Linked DNA regions of Saccharomyces cerevisiae S288C. The main gene of each other region encodes a partner of the protein of the gene in region 4 in a complex. Each region holds a gene or a part of one and is shown on either strand. Other genes may lie near its edges. The genes, in order: RET1, RPC53, RPC17 and RPC37. A codon is read from its position in the direction of its gene.

The links.
Region 1: RPC37 (region 4) and RET1 share a complex: the UniProt entries of both Saccharomyces cerevisiae proteins name them as parts of the RNA polymerase III (Pol III) complex.
Region 2: the proteins of RPC37 (region 4) and RPC53 are in contact, whole or in part, in a cryo-EM structure (PDB 7Z0H), measured with the Saccharomyces cerevisiae proteins. Residues at the interface, in NP_012950.3 of Saccharomyces cerevisiae: Ile71 (codon at 2,120), Glu72 (codon at 2,123), Glu73 (codon at 2,126), Phe74 (codon at 2,129), Pro75 (codon at 2,132), Leu76 (codon at 2,135), Lys77 (codon at 2,138), Ile78 (codon at 2,141), Glu81 (codon at 2,150), Glu83 (codon at 2,156), Ser84 (codon at 2,159), Leu85 (codon at 2,162), His86 (codon at 2,165), Val87 (codon at 2,168), Phe88 (codon at 2,171), Gln89 (codon at 2,174), Tyr90 (codon at 2,177), Ala91 (codon at 2,180), Arg93 (codon at 2,186), Pro94 (codon at 2,189), Arg95 (codon at 2,192), Leu96 (codon at 2,195), Val97 (codon at 2,198), Arg99 (codon at 2,204), Ala102 (codon at 2,213), His104 (codon at 2,219), Tyr112 (codon at 2,243), Trp119 (codon at 2,264), Asp126 (codon at 2,285), Gln128 (codon at 2,291); in NP_010131.1 of Saccharomyces cerevisiae: Arg195 (codon at 2,105), Ile196 (codon at 2,108), Gln198 (codon at 2,114), Leu199 (codon at 2,117), Phe200 (codon at 2,120), Leu223 (codon at 2,189), Ser224 (codon at 2,192), Glu225 (codon at 2,195), Lys226 (codon at 2,198), Leu294 (codon at 2,402), Lys295 (codon at 2,405), Met297 (codon at 2,411), Asn298 (codon at 2,414), Asn299 (codon at 2,417), Lys300 (codon at 2,420), Pro301 (codon at 2,423), Glu302 (codon at 2,426), Arg303 (codon at 2,429), Phe304 (codon at 2,432), Met305 (codon at 2,435), Val306 (codon at 2,438), Phe307 (codon at 2,441), Gln308 (codon at 2,444), Leu309 (codon at 2,447), Pro310 (codon at 2,450), Thr311 (codon at 2,453), Arg312 (codon at 2,456), Leu313 (codon at 2,459), Pro314 (codon at 2,462), Ala315 (codon at 2,465).
Region 3: RPC37 (region 4) and RPC17 share a complex: the UniProt entries of both Saccharomyces cerevisiae proteins name them as parts of the RNA polymerase III (Pol III) complex.

What each region holds. Positions count from the first base shown.
Region 1 is NC_001147.6:729,483-735,145, reverse strand, and holds RET1 (DNA-directed RNA polymerase III core subunit RET1), read left to right. Parts: upstream 1-1,688; coding exon 1,689-5,138; downstream 5,139-5,663. Other genes in the region: tyrosine protein phosphatase PTP2, read right to left, coding at 1-1,221; mRNA-binding ribosome synthesis protein NOC2, read right to left, coding at 5,502-5,663. UniProt on the Saccharomyces cerevisiae protein: DNA-dependent RNA polymerase catalyzes the transcription of DNA into RNA using the four ribonucleoside triphosphates as substrates. Second largest core component of RNA polymerase III which synthesizes small RNAs, such as 5S rRNA and tRNAs.
Region 2 is NC_001136.10:181,821-185,209, forward strand, and holds RPC53 (DNA-directed RNA polymerase III subunit C53), read left to right. Parts: upstream 1-1,522; coding exon 1,523-2,791; downstream 2,792-3,389. Other genes in the region: rRNA-processing protein SAS10, read right to left, coding at 1-1,198; autophagy protein ATG9, read left to right, coding at 3,105-3,389. UniProt on the Saccharomyces cerevisiae protein: DNA-dependent RNA polymerase catalyzes the transcription of DNA into RNA using the four ribonucleoside triphosphates as substrates. Specific peripheric component of RNA polymerase III which synthesizes small RNAs, such as 5S rRNA and tRNAs.
Region 3 is NC_001142.9:413,688-416,323, reverse strand, and holds RPC17 (DNA-directed RNA polymerase III subunit RPC17), read left to right. Parts: upstream 1-1,553; coding exon 1,554-2,039; downstream 2,040-2,636. UniProt on the Saccharomyces cerevisiae protein: DNA-dependent RNA polymerase catalyzes the transcription of DNA into RNA using the four ribonucleoside triphosphates as substrates. Specific peripheric component of RNA polymerase III which synthesizes small RNAs, such as 5S rRNA and tRNAs.
Region 4 is NC_001143.9:485,861-489,140, forward strand, and holds RPC37 (DNA-directed RNA polymerase III subunit C37), read left to right. Parts: upstream 1-1,909; coding exon 1,910-2,758; downstream 2,759-3,280. Other genes in the region: DBP7 (putative ATP-dependent RNA helicase), read right to left, coding at 1-1,512; GCN3 (translation initiation factor eIF2B subunit alpha), read right to left, coding at 2,878-3,280. UniProt on the Saccharomyces cerevisiae protein: DNA-dependent RNA polymerase catalyzes the transcription of DNA into RNA using the four ribonucleoside triphosphates as substrates. Specific peripheric component of RNA polymerase III which synthesizes small RNAs, such as 5S rRNA and tRNAs.

The DNA.
Region 1 (5,663 bases), on a different chromosome or scaffold from region 4:
CTGAATTCCTTCAGTAAGTTCGTAATCATTTATTGGTGACATTATAGTATCATCGGAAGATAATGGTGATGGCGAAGAAGATGTGTTGTTTTTTGGTATAATTAATTTTAGCTTTTGATTTTTCTGTATGTTGCTTTTCAAAGAACTTTTATACTGTCGTTGCAAACTAGTTAAAGAATATAATTTTGAATCATCCGTGGATTGCGGACCCCTCTGCTTTTGTGATAGCTGCTTTTGATGTAAAGGCTTTTTCTTGAATTTCAGGCATTTCTCTAATCTTTGCATTTCAAAATTTTCTAAAGTTTCAAAATTGTTAAAGAGTTTCTTTAATATTACCTTTTCATTTTCTTTTACGGAGCAGAATTTTAGCCAATTCGGTAAAATCGTGTCGTTAGGTGCTAAGTCAGCAGGCATATTGAATTGGAAAAACTTTTGCAAAGAATTAGGAGAATAATGAATTAGATCCTTTTTCAGAGACTGTAAAAATATTTTATTTGAATCATTGGGTGGAGGTATGTTTATTCTTAAATTTAAAGTTGACCTTGAAGTTAAGTTTACATTCAAGTTCAAATCCAATTTGGGCAAGATGCAATTTTTCTTATTTTTTCCTAATGAGGGGGCCTTGCTATCATTCAGAGAGCCTTCGAGAAGAAAGAATTTCAAATAAGGAGATGGAAAAAAATGGCAGATGAACTTTTTAAACTTCTCAATGAGGCAAAAAGTTGTCTTTAAACAACTCGAAATTCTGCTAAACGAATCACTGAAAATGAAAATATCATAATCTTTGATGATCTTTGTGAACTCAATATACTTTTCATCAGATCCAAGGTAATTCTTTAGTAAGTTCTCGAACGGGTAGTTCGACCTTTTCACCAAAGTGCTGGGTAGCGGCAACGATAAAACTGTGATATCCTTAGCATTGGTATTGCCTAAAAATGAGTTGGTATTGGGGCCAGCGCACAGATCTAGTAAAAGTATTTTAGAATGCCTATTAGAGTTGTTCCGCCGTATGTTAACGTCGTCCAAATCTTTGCACGGTTTAATTTGATTTTGGGGAAGGTTAGACAGATTTATAGTTTCACCTCTATAGACGGGCATTTGACCAGGTGTTCTAGTTTGATTGACTTGTATGTGGCCCTTTTCCGATATAGCGGAAGAAGCCATTCTATTGCCGTTATTGTCTCTTTTGCCATTACGATATTGCTGTGCTATGCGATCCATCAATAGCAACGTCGATCCTATTTTATTGTAAACTATTAATAGCACTGGGGATCGGACCTAGGCTTCCAAACTAAGCGAAAAGGGCTGTGCAAAGCGGAAGAGGGGAACCAGGGGAATCGGGTCTGTCAGGTTGAGTGATCTCGTCTTTCTTGTCAAAGGTCGCAGCGCGGTGTTCAAAGAAAGATGATGATTCAAAGTTGGCACTTCCCAAAGGTTTTAATAGGTGCATTATTTTTATATATTCCTTATTGTTAGGTGTACTACACATAAAGATATAAATAGTTCCATAAAGCAGGCGCGTATTTTCCAGATCACGTCGGACGAAATTGTAATTGTGAGATGAGCTGAAAATTTTTCGATCTATGCTTAAGTGATGATATATGGACAAGTTAGGAAAGAATTAAAGGGAGTTTAAAGTGTTGATAATTGAGCGTTTTAATCGCTAGGGACTTAGTGCTTGTTGAAAAATGGTTGCTGCGACAAAAAGACGGAAAACTCATATACATAAGCATGTGAAAGACGAGGCTTTTGATGATTTATTGAAACCAGTATATAAAGGTAAGAAACTAACTGATGAAATCAATACTGCTCAGGATAAGTGGCACCTTTTACCAGCATTCTTGAAGGTTAAAGGTTTGGTGAAGCAACATCTTGACTCATTTAACTACTTCGTTGATACAGATTTAAAAAAAATTATAAAGGCAAATCAATTAATTTTGAGTGATGTTGATCCAGAATTCTACCTGAAGTACGTCGATATTAGAGTGGGTAAGAAGTCCTCTTCTTCGACAAAAGATTATTTGACTCCGCCTCATGAGTGTAGGCTTAGAGATATGACATACTCTGCACCAATCTACGTGGATATAGAATACACTAGAGGTAGAAACATTATTATGCATAAAGACGTGGAAATTGGTAGGATGCCGATCATGCTGAGATCTAATAAATGTATCCTATATGATGCTGATGAATCGAAAATGGCTAAATTAAACGAGTGTCCGTTGGATCCTGGTGGTTACTTTATTGTTAACGGTACCGAAAAAGTAATTCTTGTTCAAGAACAATTATCCAAGAATCGTATTATTGTGGAGGCAGATGAGAAGAAAGGCATTGTTCAGGCCTCCGTTACTTCATCTACCCATGAAAGAAAATCTAAGACTTATGTCATTACCAAAAATGGCAAGATCTATTTGAAGCACAATTCCATCGCTGAAGAAATTCCTATTGCTATTGTTCTCAAAGCCTGTGGTATTTTATCAGATTTAGAAATTATGCAATTGGTTTGCGGTAATGATAGTAGCTACCAAGATATTTTTGCAGTCAATTTGGAAGAATCTTCGAAATTAGATATTTACACACAACAGCAAGCTTTAGAGTATATTGGTGCAAAAGTAAAGACAATGAGAAGGCAAAAACTGACTATCCTGCAAGAGGGTATAGAGGCCATTGCTACCACGGTTATTGCACATTTGACTGTGGAAGCCCTTGACTTTAGAGAAAAGGCTTTATATATTGCCATGATGACGCGCAGGGTGGTGATGGCAATGTATAACCCTAAGATGATTGATGATAGAGATTATGTTGGTAATAAACGTCTTGAATTAGCAGGCCAATTGATTTCTTTATTGTTCGAAGATTTGTTCAAAAAGTTTAATAATGATTTTAAACTAAGCATTGATAAGGTCTTGAAAAAACCAAATAGGGCTATGGAATACGATGCATTATTGTCAATTAACGTCCATTCAAATAACATCACCAGCGGACTGAACAGAGCTATCTCAACCGGTAATTGGTCTCTTAAAAGATTTAAGATGGAAAGAGCGGGTGTTACACATGTTCTTTCCAGACTATCTTATATTTCCGCATTGGGTATGATGACAAGAATTTCTTCTCAGTTTGAAAAATCAAGAAAAGTTTCCGGTCCAAGAGCATTACAACCTTCTCAATTTGGTATGCTTTGTACTGCAGATACTCCAGAAGGTGAGGCGTGTGGTCTAGTGAAAAATTTAGCATTAATGACTCATATTACTACAGATGACGAAGAGGAACCTATAAAGAAATTATGTTATGTTCTTGGTGTAGAAGACATAACATTGATTGACAGTGCATCCTTGCATTTAAACTATGGTGTTTATTTGAATGGTACTTTAATTGGTTCAATCAGATTCCCAACAAAATTCGTTACTCAGTTCAGACATCTGAGAAGAACAGGTAAAGTGTCGGAGTTTATCTCAATTTATTCAAATTCTCACCAAATGGCAGTTCATATTGCAACAGATGGTGGTAGAATTTGTAGGCCATTAATCATTGTTTCTGATGGTCAATCTCGCGTGAAAGATATTCATTTACGCAAATTATTAGATGGTGAGTTAGATTTCGATGATTTTTTGAAACTCGGATTGGTGGAATATTTAGATGTCAATGAAGAAAACGATTCTTACATTGCATTGTATGAAAAAGATATAGTTCCCTCGATGACACATTTAGAAATCGAGCCATTCACAATTTTAGGTGCTGTTGCTGGTTTAATTCCATATCCACATCATAACCAATCCCCTCGTAACACATATCAATGTGCGATGGGTAAGCAAGCGATTGGTGCAATCGCCTACAATCAATTCAAGAGAATAGATACATTATTATACTTGATGACTTATCCACAACAGCCAATGGTGAAAACCAAAACAATTGAATTGATCGATTATGATAAATTACCTGCTGGTCAAAATGCTACGGTTGCTGTCATGTCCTATTCTGGTTATGATATTGAAGATGCTTTGGTTTTGAATAAGTCATCCATCGATAGAGGTTTCGGCCGTTGCGAAACACGTAGAAAGACAACCACTGTTTTGAAAAGATATGCGAACCATACCCAAGATATCATCGGTGGTATGAGAGTTGATGAAAATGGAGATCCTATCTGGCAACATCAATCTCTTGGTCCTGATGGTCTAGGTGAGGTGGGTATGAAGGTCCAAAGTGGACAAATTTATATAAATAAGTCAGTTCCAACTAACTCAGCAGACGCCCCAAACCCAAACAACGTAAACGTCCAAACTCAATATAGGGAAGCTCCGGTAATATATAGAGGTCCAGAACCTTCTCACATTGACCAAGTTATGATGTCTGTTTCGGATAACGATCAAGCTTTAATCAAAGTTTTGCTAAGACAAAACAGAAGGCCAGAATTAGGTGACAAATTTTCTTCTAGACATGGTCAAAAAGGTGTTTGTGGTATTATTGTAAAGCAAGAAGACATGCCCTTCAACGATCAAGGTATAGTTCCAGACATTATCATGAACCCTCACGGTTTTCCATCTCGTATGACTGTGGGTAAAATGATCGAACTGATATCGGGTAAAGCTGGTGTATTGAATGGTACATTGGAATATGGTACTTGTTTTGGTGGTTCTAAACTTGAAGATATGTCTAAGATTTTGGTAGACCAAGGTTTCAACTATTCCGGTAAGGATATGTTATATTCAGGTATAACAGGTGAGTGTTTACAGGCTTACATCTTTTTTGGCCCCATTTACTATCAAAAGTTAAAGCATATGGTCTTAGATAAGATGCATGCAAGAGCTCGTGGTCCAAGGGCTGTTTTGACACGTCAACCAACTGAGGGTAGATCTAGAGATGGTGGTCTGAGGTTGGGTGAGATGGAGAGGGATTGTGTAATCGCGTATGGTGCTTCACAATTGCTGTTAGAAAGGTTGATGATTAGTTCAGATGCTTTTGAAGTTGATGTCTGCGATAAATGTGGATTAATGGGCTATAGTGGTTGGTGTACTACCTGCAAAAGTGCTGAGAATATTATTAAGATGACTATTCCATATGCAGCAAAACTGTTATTCCAGGAATTATTATCCATGAACATAGCCCCAAGATTAAGATTGGAAGATATCTTCCAGCAGTAAGAAATCATATATCTTGTACTAAATTTTGCGTTATGTTAGCAATCATATCTATTTCGTGAGGAACTTTAAGAGAGTTGAACGATTTCGAAAATTATATAACAGTAAACCGTACTTCTTTCATTTTTGTACCTTGCTTTACATCATTACTTTTTATAAGATCCATCGAACGTTTGACGTGTTTTCTATCCATAAACCGGCCAAAATATAAAAATATCCAGCTGACAAGAGAAAGCTTGGAGTGCTCACATGTTAGCACATGTGAGCACAATGATATATACGCTTTAAAAAAGACTTTTCTTTATTTTACACATTTATAGACTTAACTATTGAATTCAAGACAAAAAATCAAATCTTGCTGAGTTGTTAAGCGTCTGACATTTCAACATCTTCGTTGTCATCATCACTTTCCAGACTGTTTAATAATTTTGCTTCTTCTGTTTCTCTTTCTTTGTCTTGTTCTTCCATACTTTCTCTCATTAATCTGGCCTTTTCTTCCTTAACTTCACGTTGTACTGCAACATAAGA
Region 2 (3,389 bases), on a different chromosome or scaffold from region 4:
CAGATTCAATGAAATCATCAGCTTCAGGCATTGATGATGTTTTCGGTTTAGAATGCAGACGTGATTGTGCTACGTACTCTTCAAAATCGTCAATATCAACATCTTCTTCTTCTTCTTCTTCATCGCTTTCTCTTTCTTCTTCATCAATTTCTTGCTTTTGTTTTCCTCCATCCTCTGCATCAGAATCTTCACTGTTTTGCAACTCATTCAGCTTCTTTTCGTTAAAGGCCTCAATGTTTGCGGTTTCTTCACTTTCAGAACCATCTCCTTCATTCACATCAAAACTAGATGGCAATTCGCTGGCTTGCCTCCAAATCTCTTTTGTCGTTAAAATCTTTTCCATGACCGGATGTCCCTTCATAGATGTGAAATCTTCATTATTATGGAGTTCGTGCAACAAGATACTATAGTAACATGATATTGTGCCTAGGTAACTTCCAAGTGCAATTAGCTTTAATTTATTGAACTCATTTTCCTCAGATTTCTTTAATTCGTCAAACTTTGGAGCTAATTCTGTGAATTCTTTTGAAAGTGGAGCAAATTCAGGAAACATTGTCCTTAAATAGTTATCCCTTGCTTCGTCATCCATATTTAGAATATCCGTTATGGAAGTTTTAGTATCAGCCTGCTTGGTCGAGTTCTTAAATTCACCCATGTCAAATTCTTTGGCACTTTTGACCCACTCTTCTTCTTCTTCTTCATCTAAGTAATCGTTCATATTAAGTTCTTCCAGATGCTTCTTTTGTTGTCGTAAAGCTTCCTTTTCTATTTCCTTAGCAGCTTCGTCATCATCTAAATCATCAGCCCCATAATATTCTCCTTTTGTGGACCCCCAGGCATTCTCGTTGTCTAACATACCATTCTCTTCATCTTCCTCAGGAAGCTGGTCAGTTTCTAAGTTTCTACCAAATATTTTCTTATAGGCTGCAGCACCATCTAGTTCCTCTTCCTCTTCTTCTTCCTCATCTTCTCTTTCATCTATTGACTCATCATCTTCATCCATGGCTAAGACTTCTTCCTCATCTTCGTCTTCTAACAGAGAATGGTCATCATCTTTATTACTGTCGCCAAAGGTGGATTGTCCAAGTAAAACCTTTTCCCTTTTAGAAGCAAAATCATCAACTTCGTTTAAACCATACGGATTAATCTCATCCCCAACTTCAGAGGTCTTAGTTCTGTTTGAGCCTTTGCGTACCATATTATTCTATACACCCACTCTAATATGTTTTCTCTTCCTCCAAAACTTTTTGTATAAAAGCATCAGTGAGATGAGCTATGATGAGATGAGCTTCATTATTGAATTTTTTTTCATTGCAGAAGCGCAGTTTGAAAATTTTTCATCCGCCCTGCAAAGTCCAATTTTTTGATCAGCAGAAGATAATGACCAGAGAATTATGGTATTCAAGAGAACAATTCAAAAGAGGACAGCTAGAAAGATATTGAGGTATTTATAATTTGCTAGACTAACCGAAAGTCGAAGCGTAATCTTGTTTTTTATTAAGCGGGATAGCATTCATTAAGTATGAGCAGTAATAAAGGAAATGGGCGCTTGCCATCATTAAAAGATTCCTCCTCCAATGGAGGAGGATCTGCCAAGCCCTCATTAAAGTTTAAACCAAAAGCAGTTGCAAGAAAGTCCAAGGAAGAAAGAGAAGCAGCTGCGTCCAAAGTAAAGCTAGAGGAGGAATCTAAGAGAGGTAATGACAAGAAACATTTCAATAACAAGAATAAAAGAGTAACCGGCGCTGGCGGCCAGCAAAGGCGAATGGCCAAATACTTAAATAACACACACGTTATCTCTAGCGGTCCATTGGCGGCTGGGAACTTTGTAAGTGAGAAGGGTGATTTGAGAAGAGGATTCATCAAATCAGAAGGAAGCGGGTCATCTCTTGTGCAAAAGGGCCTGGAAACTATTGACAATGGTGCTGAGAGCTCTGAGAATGAGGCAGAAGACGATGATAATGAAGGTGTAGCGTCCAAATCTAAGAAGAAGTTCAATATGGGAAAAGAATTCGAGGCACGCAATCTCATAGAGGACGAAGATGACGGCGAAAGTGAAAAGAGCAGTGACGTCGACATGGATGACGAAGAATGGAGATCTAAACGGATTGAACAGTTATTCCCTGTGAGACCTGTCCGCGTAAGACACGAAGACGTTGAAACTGTCAAAAGAGAAATACAAGAAGCTCTTTCAGAAAAGCCAACTCGTGAACCAACCCCCAGTGTGAAGACAGAGCCTGTCGGAACCGGATTACAATCTTATTTGGAAGAAAGAGAAAGGCAAGTCAATGAGAAACTGGCAGATCTTGGACTTGAAAAGGAGTTTCAATCGGTTGATGGGAAAGAAGCGGCCGCTGAGTTGGAATTATTAAATGCAGATCATCAGCATATATTACGAAAACTAAAGAAAATGAATAATAAACCAGAAAGATTCATGGTATTCCAGTTACCTACTAGGTTACCAGCTTTTGAAAGACCCGCTGTGAAAGAAGAAAAAGAAGACATGGAAACCCAGGCTAGCGACCCTTCAAAGAAGAAGAAGAATATTAAAAAGAAGGACACGAAGGATGCTTTGTCTACTAGAGAACTTGCCGGCAAGGTTGGGTCTATACGGGTTCACAAATCTGGAAAACTTTCCGTGAAAATTGGAAATGTGGTGATGGATATTGGCAAAGGTGCCGAAACCACATTTTTACAAGATGTTATAGCATTAAGTATCGCTGATGATGCATCCTCAGCGGAACTTCTAGGCCGTGTGGACGGTAAAATAGTAGTCACACCTCAAATCTAATCGCACTCGCATCTGTCGAGTATATAAATGAATATACACAGTCATAAATACTTCTAGAACAAATTACACTAATTAAGATGCTTAGATTCCCATTCAAAAGGTACTATTGACGTCTTGTCTTCTACAATTTCTCATCCTCTTTGAACATTGGTAATGTTATTCTAGTTATTGTTACCCAGTTTCGGAACTTTAGGGGAGCCACACTTTAAACAAAAAGAAGCGCCATAACCACCGTGAAGTAATGAGTATCTCACTTTGATAAGAAGACATTTAAGAACAGCCTGAAATATCAAAATCACGGAATTATTAGGTTATGGAGAGAGATGAATACCAGTTACCCAACTCTCATGGGAAGAATACTTTCTTATCGCGAATATTTGGTTTACAATCGGATGAAGTTAATCCTTCTCTTAATAGCCAGGAGATGAGCAACTTCCCTTTACCAGACATAGAGAGAGGCTCATCTTTATTGCATTCTACTAACGACAGCCGCGAAGATGTAGATGAGAATGACTTACGTGTTCCTGAGTCTGACCAAGGCACTAGTACAGAAGAAGAGGATGAAGTAGATGAAGAGCAAGTCCAGGCGTATGCTCCA
Region 3 (2,636 bases), on a different chromosome or scaffold from region 4:
ACCCATATCCTTACATATACAAACGTCAAGTTAATTGTTCAAGTAACAGATATTTAACTTTACATTATCACATAGTCTATATCGTTCTCCATCCTGACACATCAATGACGTTTGCGTCTAATTGCTTCACAATTACAAATTCATCAGTAATAAAGAATAGTATGTCACTATTCTAACAGATAATATGCCAGTAATATGACTACTGGTCAATATTAAGCATAACTGTAAGACTGGATTTTGTAATGTCACCTATTAGAAAATGTTAGCCTAAATTTTCAACAAAAGTTGAAGCGGTGGCTCAATGGTAGAGCTTTCGACTCCAATTAAATCTTGGAAATTCCACGGAATAAGATTGCAATCGAAGGGTTGCAGGTTCAATTCCTGTCCGTTTCAATTTATTTTTTTATTTTTTTTGCACCATATCGTTCATGGTGATTCTCTCTTTCCTAGCCGCCAATAACGTCGTAACAATACCGTCCTCTTCCCTTTCTCTTGTTGCAGATTAGGTCTGAAACGAGATAAAAGTCTTACAGAGAAGTCGGCAATGCATACTTACTAAGAGCATGCATTCTAAAGTATGCTTCGTGCGTTTTAGGATAGATAAAGTATCATTTAATTCCGCTATTTGTGAATCGTTAAATGTCACAGGCAAATCGACATGTTAATGATCTTACGACAGAGTAGTTTATGCCGAGGGTTACTTATATTTCAACTTGTACATCTCTTAGTCTTGAATATCCGGCACAATTTTCATTATTTTGCTAGTGCGTGGATCCTTTGGCGCTGACACTAACCGGTAAATTGTACTTTCGTTCATCTTTCCTTGTCATAAACTCTTCGTCAGTAATTTCTTTAGCAATAGAAGCTAAAACAAGCTTATTAGCAAACAGTTCGTGTACACAACTATGAGCAATCCATTACATTAAAAGGGTTTACTGTATAATGTTATATATGTAGCATGAATTATAAAATGGTCCTCCCAATCATTTTGATAGGTTATTCTGCGGAATGATCAAGCTTTTCTAGATTCCTTCAGATAATATCATATGTTAAGGAGAAGAACAATTTTGCTTAATCAAACTTCTGGTCACATGAGTTGAACAGAATGTAACCTTTTATTGATAGTCTGCAGTCTGGTTCTCCACGAACTACATATACTATTTCTATTTACAAAATAGTGTGATATTTCACCTTCTATGAGATGAAATACAAAAGAAAGCTTCGCTGCAAGGTTGAAAGATAATTAGCACTTATTCCTTGAATAAGTGGGCAAGAAAAAAATATTAGCCCTGTAGGGGGCTCGAACCCCTAACCTTATGATTAAGAGTCATACGCGCTACCGATTGCGCCAACAAGGCTAATTCGTTGAAAAATCCTTCAATTCCTGAAAATTATACCAAGTAAAAAAAGGAAAATTGCCTGAAAAATTATTTTTTTCAATGCCATCGATCTATGAAAGTTAAGCAAATAACAGCCACAGTAGAAGAGAAGTTGAGTGAATCCAACACCCACCACTGAAAAAATCGACACTTAAACAAAAAACTTTAAACGTTATGAAAGTTCTTGAGGAAAGGAATGCATTTTTAAGTGACTATGAAGTCTTGAAGTTCCTAACAGATCTAGAAAAAAAACATCTTTGGGACCAAAAAAGTTTGGCTGCGCTGAAGAAAAGTCGCTCGAAAGGTAAGCAGAATAGGCCCTACAATCATCCTGAATTGCAAGGTATTACTCGCAATGTGGTTAACTATCTCAGTATAAACAAAAACTTTATCAACCAGGAAGATGAAGGCGAGGAACGAGAAAGCAGTGGTGCAAAAGATGCTGAAAAATCGGGTATAAGCAAAATGAGCGATGAAAGCTTTGCTGAGTTGATGACTAAACTGAATTCTTTTAAATTATTCAAGGCTGAAAAACTGCAGATTGTCAATCAACTTCCTGCCAATATGGTCCACCTTTACTCCATAGTGGAGGAGTGTGATGCAAGATTTGACGAAAAAACAATTGAGGAAATGCTAGAGATCATCTCTGGCTACGCATGAGTGTACAGTGCTTTGAATTGATTTGGACTGGCACTTCCGAAAAACAGAAATTACTTTGTTGTGTAACAATATAACATGTTCAATGAGTATGCATGTATTATTGAACTTAAGCATATAGAAATATTTACAAGAATATACTTTATTTTTTAGAGTTTATTGCGCACACTTTGGGTTAGTCTCGATTTTTTTTATTTCCATTGGAGGAAGGTTATTATTTGGAAATTTAGTGCTGCGTTATAAACGTCTGTAAAGCCAGTACCACAAGCAACTTCGGTGAGATTTAACTTTTGTTTATTCTGTATTTTTGTCGAGGCTTAAAAGGGTATACTAGTTGAGGGCGTTACAGTAATCCCTTCATGGCAAGAATAAAGTAATAGTTATATAATAATTGTCATACGCATTGTTATACCAGTTGACGAGTAAAAAAAGACGCACCGTGACTTCAAGAGCTGTCGCAAACAAGTTCGACAATATTTAACTTATAAACATATTAAAGCTTTCAAAAATATAGTCTTTCGAAGAGCTTTTTCATACTAAGAGAAGCGTTGCTAATATTCCGAATTAATCACGCAATTGCCTCTCTGCTTTCCACGTAAC
Region 4 (3,280 bases):
AGCAAAATGCTGCAATGTAGAGGTTCTCATTTGTTGGGATAAAGAACCGTGCAATTTATAAATCACTACATCTGGGTCCCTAGAATCTGAAAAACAAGGAAACATAGTGTTTCCTTTTGTCAATAGTCTTACAGAATCACCCGTTAGATTTTTATGGTGCCCGTCACTTCCTGAAAATGCGTCATAATGAAACTCCACGCTGTCTGAACATGATACGAATACGATTGTACGCAGCGTTTTGGACTGTTGACCGGAAGCGATGAAATCTTTGGTAATGTTGTTCAAAGTAGCAGCTAATGTTACAAGACGCAACTTTGGTGGGACAATAGTAATCCTCTGCAATAGTTGATCGGGCGCAACCGTTACTATATCAGAATCTTTCTTGGTACCGTTGCTAATCAATTTGTAATCTTTCAACGCCACGTTTCTTAACCTATTAACACCATCAGTAAGTGTAGCACTACATAACATGTGCACTAACTTATGCGGTAGCTTGGGAAATTTTTCGGAGTTGATGGGAATATCGTGAACAATTTTAATAATTTCACTGATCGTCTCATCAAAACCCAATTCCATTAACTTATCTCCTTCATCCAATACGATATACCTTAGAGATTGACTCAATTGCTCCTTGATAACTTTTGTATTTTGTAAATGATCCAAAACACGACCTGGTGTACCGATTATGAAATTGCAACCCTTACGCAATCTAGCTTTTTCTGATTTCTTACGTTCTCCACCAATCAATAAACATGGGACCAAGTAGTGACAACATGACACAAGCGTGGAACAAACATGATATATTTGTGATGCTAGTTCTCGTGTAGGAGCAATAACCAATGCAAATGCACCAGAAGTACGATCAACATGAGTATCCATGTTCAAAATAGTAGATATTATAGGTAAAAGATACGATAAAGTCTTACCTGAGCCTGTTTGGGCGTGAATGAAAAAATCGTTCTTCCCCGCGTTACCTATTATTTGAGGTATGGCCTGCTTCTGGATGCTCGTAGGCTTTTTAATACGCATTTTTTGCTCCAGATGAGAAACAAGAAGACTAGAGACACCTAAAGACGCAAACTGATCACCTTTCAAGGGCGCGTTAGACGGATTGATGGCAACGTTTTCATCATGAATATTAGTGTTTACCGCAGTTGTAATCTCTCTGTTAGATGTAAACAGGGATGAAACAAACTGAGAATCGGCTGGTAGAGTTCTCCCTTGAGTGTTATGAGCATTTCTACCCTTATATTTTTCCTGCTCTTCAGAACTATAGGAACTCTCCTTATGCAATTTTTTAATAGAATTCTCGCCTCTACCCGGAATTATCCCTTCGTCCCCTGTAGTGTTCGCCTTTCTTTTCCTCGAGACTGTCTTGCCCTCAAGCTTCATTTTCATTCTTCTTCTATCCTTCCATCTACCGCCTGTCACCTTGGCAGCTTGCTTATAGGAACTTCCTGCAGTGTCCTCATTGGTAGTGAAGTTTAACAGCATAGAATCTTCATCGCTCATCTTGGTGTTAAATTGCTGAATAAGTATGCTTATTTGGAATATGAATAATCCCAAAGGAAAAAGAATATAAACAATCGTACTTTCTTAAATTAGAAATATCACATACAAGTACTCAATCTTTTATTTTCCTAAGCTCATCGCAAATTTTTCAAGTAAAATGGAAACCTAATATGTCAGGGTTTTTAATCCATATTGTTAGGGCAACATTCAATTTTAAACTGAAATTTTATAAAAACTCTGTTCATTTTTCAGGCCTTAGGGTTAGTATTCTGACAAAATTATTCAAGAAAAAAAGAAATGTTACAATGAATGCAAAAGATGGATAAAAGCGAGAGATGAGCTTAAATGATCTGGCTCAAGCAGTGCAAGGTGAAAGTGGAATAGGCTAGTGTTATAGATGAGTATTGACAACAAGTTGTTTGTTACTGAAGAGGATGAGGAAGACAGGACGCAGGACCGTGCTGATGTTGAGGATGAATCTAACGACATTGATATGATAGCGGATGAGAACGGAACAAACAGCGCTATAGCTAATGAGCAAGAGGAAAAATCCGAAGAAGTAAAAGCTGAAGATGATACTGGTGAAGAAGAAGAGGATGACCCAGTGATCGAAGAGTTTCCATTGAAGATCTCCGGAGAAGAGGAGTCACTGCACGTGTTTCAGTATGCTAATAGACCAAGGCTAGTAGGACGCAAACCTGCTGAGCATCCGTTTATCTCTGCAGCAAGATATAAACCCAAGTCGCACCTATGGGAAATAGATATTCCTTTGGATGAGCAGGCCTTCTATAACAAGGATAAGGCTGAGAGCGAATGGAATGGGGTTAATGTCCAAACATTAAAAGGCGTGGGTGTGGAAAACAATGGCCAATATGCAGCATTTGTCAAAGATATGCAGGTTTATTTGGTACCTATTGAGAGGGTAGCACAATTGAAGCCATTTTTCAAATATATCGACGACGCAAATGTAACAAGAAAGCAAGAGGACGCCAGAAGGAACCCTAATCCTTCATCACAACGCGCTCAAGTGGTTACCATGTCTGTAAAGAGCGTCAACGACCCTTCGCAAAACAGACTCACTGGCTCCCTGCTGGCACATAAAGTCGCCGATGAAGAGGCTAATATTGAATTGACCTGGGCAGAAGGCACGTTTGAACAGTTCAAAGATACTATCGTGAAAGAAGCTGAAGATAAAACTTTAGTAGCCTTAGAGAAACAAGAAGACTATATAGATAATCTAGTTTGAAGTACATAATGCATCATGAAGAAAGAACAGCATCAGACATCAGTTTCACATAAAGGATGCTCTTGCGCTTTTTCTCCTTTTCTATTAAGTCATTGCGTGCATATATTATGTGATTTTTTTTAATCATACCACATCTTGATTAACTCTTCTGAAACGGCACTTGGAGTGAGGACCCCTAAATCTGTAATCAATGCAGTAATGTATTCTTGGGCGGTATAGTCGATCGTGGGCCCACGCAATGCATCTTCTAGATCGTCCGTACGACGTGTGAAATCCAAAGGAGGGCCGGCCATAGGTAGATCATCTGAAGACAATGGAAACATACGAACAAATTTGTGACTTTCAGTGACCACATAGAATGGTTTTCTTGCATTATGTGCTAAAACACCCACTGAATAGGTACCCACGAGATTTATAATACCACCTGATTCAGCAACACCCTCAGCACCAACGAACACTTTGTCAACCTTATCGATTACCGCTCCAACCGCGCTATCGACAATAAGAGTCACGGGTATGCCC